Linked DNA regions of Mus musculus: regions 2 and 3 are each reported to be linked to region 1. Evidence: microRNA targets listed by miRTarBase, many of them from high-throughput screens and not tested one by one. Region 1 holds a microRNA gene; each other region holds the end of a gene's coding sequence.

What was found. Region 1 holds the annotated microRNA mmu-miR-568 (AUGUAUAAAUGUAUACACAC, at 1,323-1,342, opposite strand). A microRNA usually pairs through its seed, bases 2 to 8, with sites in the 3' UTR of a target mRNA and lowers its output. Matches are read on the target gene's strand: a 7mer-m8 pairs with bases 2 to 8, a 7mer-A1 pairs with bases 2 to 7 and ends in A, and an 8mer does both.
Region 2: the mRNA of Cir1 is a reported target of mmu-miR-568. Seed matches in the 3' UTR shown: 7mer-A1 at 925-931.
Region 3: the mRNA of Nufip2 is a reported target of mmu-miR-568. Seed matches in the 3' UTR shown: 7mer-A1 at 2,385-2,391, 7mer-m8 at 939-945 and 7mer-m8 at 641-647.

What each region holds. Positions count from the first base shown.
Region 1 is chr16:43,638,746-43,642,006 of GRCm38, reverse strand. Mir568 (microRNA 568) reads right to left here and starts at 1,352; the gene lies at 1,270-1,352. It also overlaps a transcript of Tigit not described here.
Region 2 is chr2:73,281,809-73,285,069 of GRCm38, reverse strand. Cir1 (corepressor interacting with RBPJ, 1) reads left to right here. Exons shown (of 10, transcript NM_025854.3): 10 at 35-1,198. The coding sequence ends at 710. Among named protein-coding and RNA genes, the nearest start is that of Sp9, 12 kb to the right of the region's middle.
Region 3 is chr11:77,708,993-77,712,253 of GRCm38, reverse strand. It overlaps Nufip2 (nuclear fragile X mental retardation protein interacting protein 2), which reads right to left. Exons shown (of 4, transcript NM_001024205.2): 4 at 1-2,571. The coding sequence ends at 2,519. Among named protein-coding and RNA genes, the nearest start is that of Cryba1, 15 kb to the left of the region's middle.

The sequences.
Region 1 (3,261 bases):
TCCCAGACCACGCCCCTGTGGGGGGATGTGTGTATGTGTGTGTGTGTGTGTGTGTGTGTGTGTGTTGATGTGTGCATGGATTTCTACAGTGCAGACTGAGACAGCAGTGTTCCACACCCACCTGCAAGGACAGCCATTCCTCCAGCTTCTCTTGGGAAATTATTCTTTTGACTTAATGCTCTCTCCTTTCTTGCCTCCCACTTCAAACTCTTCCTCAGTGCCCCGTTCATCAGTCTGAAAAGTTACCCTCCACTCAAAATTCTCTGGGAAGTGGAAAACTGCACATGGTGTGTGACACCCACAGAAACATCTGAAATATCACTTGGACAAATGAGTTATGTTTGTGTGTGTACATCATGTCTGAATATACAGTGTGTGTGTGTGTGTGTGTGTGTGTGTGTGTGTGTGTGTGTGTGTGTGTGCATGTGTATGTATACACAGTAGCAATTGCAAAAAGGGGACCATATTCCTTCCCACCCTAATATACAACGTGATAAGGGACATTTTTCCGTGCAGGGCAGGGTTTCTTCGAGTCTTATCACAACACTGTGGTGGGCAAATCAGAAAATGAGTTCACCTTCCAGCAGTCACCACGGTAAACGTCATTGAGAACACGCATGCTCAGATGTCTGGTCTGTGCACATGTGTGTGTGTTAACAGCTAGCTATTCAGCCAACAGTAACAGAAGACAGCAGATAGCAAAATACGTCAATAAGGTGCTCAAAGAAAAAGGTGGCACCCACTTGTCAAATGGATGGCCACGTTAAGGTGCTTCAAAAAGAGTTTTAAAGTTTTTATTTCAAACGTTGAGAGAGTTCTGGTTTGCACATGGTAGTTCTGAGCCAGGCCAAGGGTTTTGAGTTTTCTGACATCTTCCTACTGAAAAGGACTTTCACTGTGGTTGTTTTGTTCACTTGGATGTGGTCACTTGAATCTAAACCATTTTTAATAGGCAAAAATGAAAATCAAATCGTCACGACTAACAGAAAGAACGGATGAAATGGTAGAGAACATTACTGCATTCCCATTGGATCAAGATGGTCTGTCCCAGTTTTCCTCAATTGCTAACACTGCTCCTTGTTTTCCTTTGTTACAATCCATTCCTTATGAACACACAGCAGTGACCAGCGTCACCGCAAGTGGCTGTTTTTATTGTTTTGTGATCTGCTGCAAGAGTCCAACCTTGTTTCCTCTGCTGCTGTTTGTGAAATGAGCATCTGGATTTGTAATGAACACTTGATATGCTATGTGCACCTGTGTGCGTGCACACACACCTATACCTGTATAATACACACACCGCATATATGTGGACATATATAGAAGTGTGTATACATTTATACATAATATAGTGTATACTGTTTCAACTGGAGATATGCTGAACTGGGTTCAGACACTAGCACGTTTATCTTTCTCCTGTTCCCTCTGTGTGTTTTAAACAGTCTGGAGCTTTTATTTATTTTTAAAGTGCATTTTTAATGCAGAGTAACTATAATCCACTGATTCCTTGGATAACTTTTTTTTTTTTTTTTTGATGAGAAAAATCTGACGGTTTTCAGCCCCAGGCAAGAGAAACCAGGGTTTGGTCTTGCCAAGGACTGAACGTGGCAGTGCCAGGCTTGTGCCTGAGTGATTACTGGGCATTCTGGACTCCGGGCACCTCAGCAGCAGCAGCAAGCAGCACCTTTATGAGAAGGCAAAGACAGGAAATGAAGAAGGAAGCAATGTTCAGAGGAAGAAGAGTGTATTTGGTGTTTGTGTGTGCATCTCTGTGTGTGTCTGTGTGTGTGTTTGTGTGTGCATGTATTGCACATACTCACATATGAGCATTACTAATCTTGACTGTGATGGGCTTGTGCAGTCCCTGTGTATTTTCAGCCATCTAGTTCCTCCCCTACCAACTGACCCCAATATCCGATGGTCCCCACATGCTCAACTGTCACCTAGAGGTCCTCACTCCTGGGGCTGACATCAGCGTGTGTTCCTGTGGGCATGTGAGTGCCAGCATAGAATAGGAATAAGGCACCAGGGAAATCAAATGTCATGAGAGAAAGCAAAACCCACTTCAGAGCCCCTTCCCTTGTCCTTTAAAAATAGTGCGCATGACACCGTTCACGTGTGCACTTGAGAGTGTGCCATACACATTTTCTGAAAGAAACTCAACCTTGAGGCCCTTCAGCACCAGAGAGCTTTAGGAGTGCACCCTTGTCTATACCGCCCCACCCCCACCCCACAAGCAGAAGCACCGAGTTGGGAGAACGAGGCAACTTGCCTTGCTCACCTCACTGTGATAAAATAAGAACAATAAAAAAGTCTAGGAAATAGAAATTTCAGGAACTTCTCTAAAATCAAGTGGATTAGGCTGTCGGATTCTGATTCCTTGATGCTCTAAGTGTGCACAGTGACACGTGGAGGGATTGAGATGTTTGTGTTTAATATTTAGTGGGGGAATATGCTAAAAAAATCTCCCAGTTGATGCCTAAAAATCCTCTCTTCCACAAACACTTTAACCTTCCCCTTCTACTAAAAACAAAACAAAACCCAACACATTGTAAAAAAGGAAGAGGTTCATTTAACTATAAAAGGGAAAAAAATGAAGGCACATGACTTTAAATTTAGTCCCACAATCCTTAAGAAAAATAGTTTTTTTTTTTGCTTGTGTGTGTGTGTGTGTGTGTGTGTGTGTGTGTGTGTGTGTGTACACGCGCATGCGTGCGCGCTCGCGTGCATGCGCGGGATTTTGCATGAAGTATGAAGTCCATTGGACAGTTACCAAGAGAAGCTAGAAGAGAAAATGAGAGAATTTGGGACAGAAAGAAGAAAGGAGGAGAAATGGAGGCCTCTCTTCAGCTTTTTGTCACTGACAGTCTTAAAATTTGGCTGCTTTCGGGTCCAGAAAACAATTCATTTGTCTTGGTCTGGAAAGTGCCCCAGTTATAAATATCTCCAGTTAATCATGTTACAGCTTTTGGTGTTTCCCTTTTCCCTTCCCTCCAGCCAAATGATTTTTTTTTTTTTAAATATCACAGTTTTTAAAAATTATTTTTTCAATGTTGAAAAAATATGGAAAAGCTATTGAACAGCCTCAGGGCGCACTGCCTCTCCATCTTCACAGTGAGCAGATGGATGGACGATCCACAGAGTCAAAGAGGAGGCGGGCAGCAAGAGCCCTTGTGCTGAGTGGTCCCTTGCTTTACCTCCTGAGGGCCGGGGCCTTCGCAGCGCCCACAGCCGTGTTTTCTGCTTGGATCCCACCCCCTCCCA
Region 2 (3,261 bases), not on the chromosome of region 1:
TGTTGATGAAAGAACTATTTCTTTCCAACTACAGGAAATTGGATAGACTTGAAAAGAAAAAAAAGAAAAAGAAAAGTGATAAGAAAAAGAAGAAGTTACAGAAGAGCAAAAATAAACACAAGAAACGTAAAAACAAATCCCCTTCCTCTTCCTCCTCTTCCTCCTCTTCCTCCTCTTCCTCCTCCTCCTCCTCCTCTTCCTCTTCCTCCTCCTCGGAGACATCAGATAGCAGCAGTGAGAGTGATAACAAAGAAAAGAAAAGAGAGAAAGAGAAGAGGAAGAAGAAGAAGAAAACCAAATGTTCTGAAAGTAAATCCAGTGACTGTAAGGAGGACAAGCCTAAGAACATGCTTTACGAAGAACTTTCCAGCAGTCACAGTGACAGGGGAAAAGCCCAGGAAAAATTAAGGTTTCCAAAACAAGAGAGTTCTGGGGAGAATAGCATGTGGGTCCATTCTGCTTCTGACCGGACATCCAGAAGCCACCGGCACAGTCCAGAGAAGAAAGGGTCTGACAGAAATCGGGGAATCCGAAGTCGGAGCCGTAGCCGGGCTGAGAGCAGCCGGCGAAGCAGAAGCAGGAGTCCTTACCGTCAGAAGCACAGGGAGGTGAGGAGCCGGCCACACCGGAGCCCTAGTGAAGAGCAGAAGGGAAGAAAGGGCACCAGAAGCCATGGTGAAGGTGACCATAGAAGAGAGCACGTGCGCTGAGCGCCCAGGAGATAAAGGGAGAGGCAGCAGGCTCAACAGAGCTTCGGAGCAACCACCTGGGCATCAAGGACATCTTTAGCAAGGGCTAACATACACATTGTTATCTAATAAAAAAAGTCAATTCATTTTCCATCTCTGTAAACTGTTGTTTCAAGTATTAAAGCACTGTTGTACCACAAGCTTAAGTTTGCAGATATTTGCAGGGAATTTAGGGTATACAAGTAGTTTTTGTTTTGTTGTTGTTGTGGTGGTGGTGATGGTGGTGGTAGTGGTGGTTTTCTTGTTGGTAGTTGTTTCTTCTGCCTTATACCAGATTTAAAATATGTACGTAATTGTGTGATTTTGTTGTTGTTTTGAAACACCATTAAAACAGTGACAGAATCTTGAATAATTATCAATTCAAATTTGTTATTTTAAGATTTGAATATGCTTGAAGCAAAATGTAATCATTGTTGAAACTGACTAGGGTGAATAAAATACTGGATATCAAAAAGCATGTCCTTAAGACTTTAAAAGTATGATATTTATAATTGGATGTCCTGTTATTTGTCTATGTTGGCAAACAAAATCACTTCAAACTTAACAGTTGTGAAAATCAGAATTCTGGCATGGGTCTCACTAGGATAAGATGAAGGCATGGGTAGAATGTCTTCCTTCAGAAAATCCATGGTGCCCAGTTTTGGTGGTTGGCTCCCTTTTCTAACGAAGAGAACTCCCCTGTTTCCAAGTCCTGGAGTCAGTCTGACACTAACTGCACCCTCCTTCACTTGGTAAGGACCCTGTGAGTATAGCAGGTCCACATTTAAGACCAACTGATTATCAACCTTAACTTTGCACCTGTAAATGTAACATATTCATGGCTTGGGGGAGGGGGCGGGGGGGGGGGGTTGGAAACATGTATATCTTGAGGGGAGTGTTATTCTGTCTCCTCCCACAATAGCCTTTCTGGTTGACATTGCAAAGTTTTTCTTCAGGAGGTAAAACATATTACAAAGAAATAATGTAAACTAGATATTTTGTATTTAAAGGTGTATGTTGGGAGTGGAGGGAACGGTTTCTCTTTGAGACAGGGTCTTCCCATTACTATGTAGCTCTTGCTAGCCTGAAACTCACTATGTAGACCAAGCCAACATATAAGGTGTTTTGTTTTTTTTTAAAAACTTAGCTATACATTTTGCCATATGTTCCAAAGGATTAGAAGAAGAGAAAACTATGGAAATTTTCAATAAAAAATGCAGATTATATGCAACTAAAACTTTTTTGCCTATTGTGAATGTATTTTTTTTAAATCAGGGTTTTATTTTTTATTTTGTCTAGTACAAAAATGGTTTAGATAGCCATCACAATTTCCAAGTAGTGTAAGAAAATAAATTTGGAAGGAGTTCAAACTATTCCATATCTAATATTTCTCTATGCACACAAACAGATGTCCTGTGATGTAGCTGCATCTATGATGTAAATAGTCCTTTGATTATGCACGTGAAGGGAACTAGAGAGGAGCTGAACTCCTTCCCATATCCTTTACTATCTCAGCACACCTCAGATCCTACTCCTTCACTTAGAAAAGCATGCATTTGAAATTGATAAAGGCTAATTTACACCGAGTTCATCAGTGTTGCAGTGATTATTTCCTGCCGTACACCTTTTTAGACTTTATAATTTTTGTAATGTCAAAACCTATGCAATACTTACTGCCTTAAAAGAGGGTTCCAAACCAATATAGTGTTCATGAAGAAAAACGTTGAAATGCATCCTATAATTAAGAATGAATTAAAGAAATACACTTTCTTATACTTTTGACTTTCACCAAAATGTGATACCACCCTTAACTTTACAAGGTAGCCCCTAAGGTTTTTATTTTAATCTCTAATTTAATCCTTCCTGTTGAGAATATTAAAACATAAGGGAATAATTTTAAAAGGGCTAATCTTACCCACCCAATTCTAAGAGAAATTTCCCAGTGGTTACAGATCATGTGCATCTGCAGTTTAGGTTTGGGCCTTGGCCACCCACAGATGCTAGACAACCGCAATGGGCCTGTTCTGACTTACAGATGGAAGGGGAGGCATTCTCACACACACAAACATGGAACAACAGCCTTCCCGAAGCTCACTGTGTCTGCATGTGCTGGCGATACTGAGGCATGGGACTGGGCATGATCTAGTAAGTAGCCTAAGAGGAATCCTCTAAATTCAATGAATCCAAAGGAAACTCCACAAATCCAGACATGAAATATGTCATTCTTCTTACCCTTAATAGAGAAAATCTTTTAAATAAATCTGGGTACTCGACACTTTTTCCCTCGATGTGAACCTGTATGCAAAGGTATTGGACAAATTTTGAATTTTAGGGACATGCTCCAATTCTCCCTAGCCTGTTTAACGCAACGGTGACGTGATAATTCCTGTAGGAGGCACTGTCGATTTACAAATGACCAGGGGAAAGCGGGTGGTTAGGTTGGGGTTTGTTTATCTGGATGTCTACATAGTAAATTAGTCATAATTTCTTTTAATAATTGCCCAAATAGGGAGAAGTTGCTGCAGCAGGAAGG
Region 3 (3,261 bases), not on the chromosome of region 1:
TTCTTTTCATTTTGACTATGTTCATTCAACCTTGTACGACATAAACCAAGGAAATATATTTTTGTTTTGTTTTTGTGATTTGTGCAACAGAAGAACTTTTAAATTCCAGGCAAGCAAAATGGACATTTAAAAAAAAGTGGGGTAAGGATTCAGCCCTAAGGCGACAAGTGGTCACACAAGGCAATTAAACACACAGCAGAACTTTAAAACCTATAAAACAAACTGGAGCCTCGTTTTTCTTTAATCAAGATTTTTTTTTTAAATTTTCTGAAAATTTTTATTAAAAAAAAAAAAAAAGAACACAAAACACAGACTCAGTTCAATATGTGGCGTGTTGCATTTTCCAGTTTGTTCAATGCTTTAAAGCTCAAGGATGCCTCACTGATGTACACCGGCCTGAAGCATCCTAGCTTTTGGCAAGCAGGCAGGAGACTCAACAACAAAAACAAACAACAAAAACAAAAAATCAAAATAGGAACAAAGCGACTAAATGCAGGGCACATCTGTAAACATATTATACATTTGAAAATTACAATATCAGTAAAAGTGATACAGTTTACAGGTGAAATGAAACTATCTGAAACTGGCCTACCACAAGTTTCTGAACCTGGACTGATACAATAAGTTATTATATATATTATGTATAAAAAGTTTTGTTTACATCAAGTGGAATTGGCAATCCATGCTTATACTTAAAAAAAAAAAATCTAAGCAGGGCAGAAATCCAGACTAAAAAGTATTTTTCTCTGCAGTAAATCAAATAGCTTCTTTCATGAACATTTGTTAAAAACCTGAAATAGTTAACAAAACCAGAAAATCCATCCACACTACAATCGCTCAAAACTGGACATTTCTTAGAAAACAAGAGTAAAAAGTAACTACTTTCTCCCCCAAAAGTGTCTAGGGGATCCAGTTTGCCTTTGTTAGAAGACTGCAACTGTATAAATGCCCTGCTAGTTTAACTTGTATTTGACATACATGGATACATTGATTTCTCTGTATGTGTTATGTGTGTGATGTGTTGCTACATCAGGCCAGAGAACTTGTTTTTATGCCACTAACATCACCCAGTCTTATATTGGACCCTTCGTTTCTACACACACACACACACACACACACACACACACACACACACACACACACACACACACACAGACACAGACACACAGACACGCGCGCGCATGCTATACACAAGCTGCAGCACAACAGGATGGTAATGCGATGATAAGACAGGGCTAATGCTCTTTCTGCCCAAAACAAAATTCAGAATTTCACATTATTTTTCTTAAAAAAAAAAAAAAAGAAAGAAAGAAAGAAAAAAATAACCAAAGGAACCCAATCTTGCTCTAATGATAAAATATATTAAGATATAATCAGAAACAAGTAAGCTCAGAAGCAGAATTTGCCTGAAAACACACCTTCTACAATCAGGATTTATTACCTCCTCACTGGCTAAAAAAACAAGACAGTTTTCATTAATTTTTTTTTTCTTTTTTCGATTTTGCTGAGAAACTGAAATTAAAAGAATTTACAGAAAGGTACATACGTTTCTCTTAAATGGTTGATGAAAAACAAGAGTATACACTTAGTGTTAGTGACAGAGAGCAAGTCAGAGCACCTACAGCAGAAAAGCAGAATATATTTTTGCTCCCAGTTACACAATTACAATGGGTAATTATCAGCCAATTACTTGTTCTGCAACTTTTTTTTGAATGACACTCTTAGATGTTAAAAGTCCAAACATGTAACCAAAGTAAGTTAACTATATACCCACAAACTATTCCAGGATTGTAGAACTTCAATGCCCTCCCCCTGTCCCCACCCAACAAAAAATAAAAGGAAAGGAACTATTTCCCCAACACCCCACATAGGCTGCAGAACTCTTGGCAAGACATGCAAATCATTGTATTAAAACAAACAAAAAAAAACCAACAAAAAACAAACAACAAAAAACATCCCTGCAAACTTCAAGGCATTTATCCAGCATTCTCGCAGGGCTCAAAACTAAAAGATCAAGGGTGGAGTAGGGGAAAATGTTGAATCATTCTGGGTTCCCCGTGATTAGTGTATCACTTTAGTCACAGAACAAGGTACAGATACCTAGAAGTAAGTGGATTTGCCTTTCCAGTGGGTCATTTGTTGCCCAAGTAGATGACAGCAGGAACTTTAGAACCACGCTTGTTAAGTCTGTATTCATTAATCACTTGCATTCACACTTAAAAACAAAAACTAACAAAATAATAAAGAAAAGGACTATTCAGTACCGGAGATTAAATAACCATGTGTAGTCTCTTGAAATAAATTTGATTCCTTAAGAAGTCTAATTACTTTCAGTTGCCTTTTTTTAAATAACTATATATATATATGTATATATATATATATATTTGTATATATTATCCTGTGATTCTACTTATGGTTCCTCTGCTGCGTTGAAGATCTAGGAGCATAAAAGCCTTGTGTCCCACATGAACGGTGGCTCTAATGCTGCAGAAAGATTACAAATAGGCAGTCTGGTCCTTCATTGATCTGGACTATCCATGGCTTCATTGTAAGTGATTATCCTTTTGGGATCTAGAGGCAAAGTAAAAAAGTAAACTAATTAAGCACATTCAAAACAAAACCCAGATACAAATCACAAGCAATCATTCAACTCTTCTGATTTTTCAACCGGAACTGTGGCTGCTCAGCACTCCAAATAAATTCCCAACAACAGGTGCTCTACCACCCAGAGAAGACTTCAACCTCTAGAGACTAACCCTTTCCTGTTTCAGTTCCTTTAGTAAGGCGTTTTCCTTGTGATTCACCTGATTACAAAAGTAGGAAATGTAAAAAGAAGAAAAAAGCTCAAGTCATAAGATAATTTAATAGAGAAATTCTTGGGTTTATTTTGTTTTTAGCAGGAATTTAGCAAGGTCTCATGTGATCCAGGCTGGTCTCTAAACTTGCTGTGTGGATGACCTTGATTGAACTCCTAATGTCCCTCTTGACTGTACTCCTGCGTCTTTCTGCCAGGTGCTGCATGTGGCATCATGCCCCAGCCGAAAATTTATTTTAACCACAGTGGGATGTTCGGCAAGGAATGGCTGGCTCAAATAAACCCTAACACCAAATATTTCATGGTAATAATCAACTAAATCACCAATTACTAGCTTAGTTGTAATCACTTTATTTACTCCTTATTTCCCACAATATTATCTAAATTTTTTTCTTCTTCTTTTTTTTTGTTTTTTTGTTTTGTTTTGTTTTTTCGAGACAGGGCTT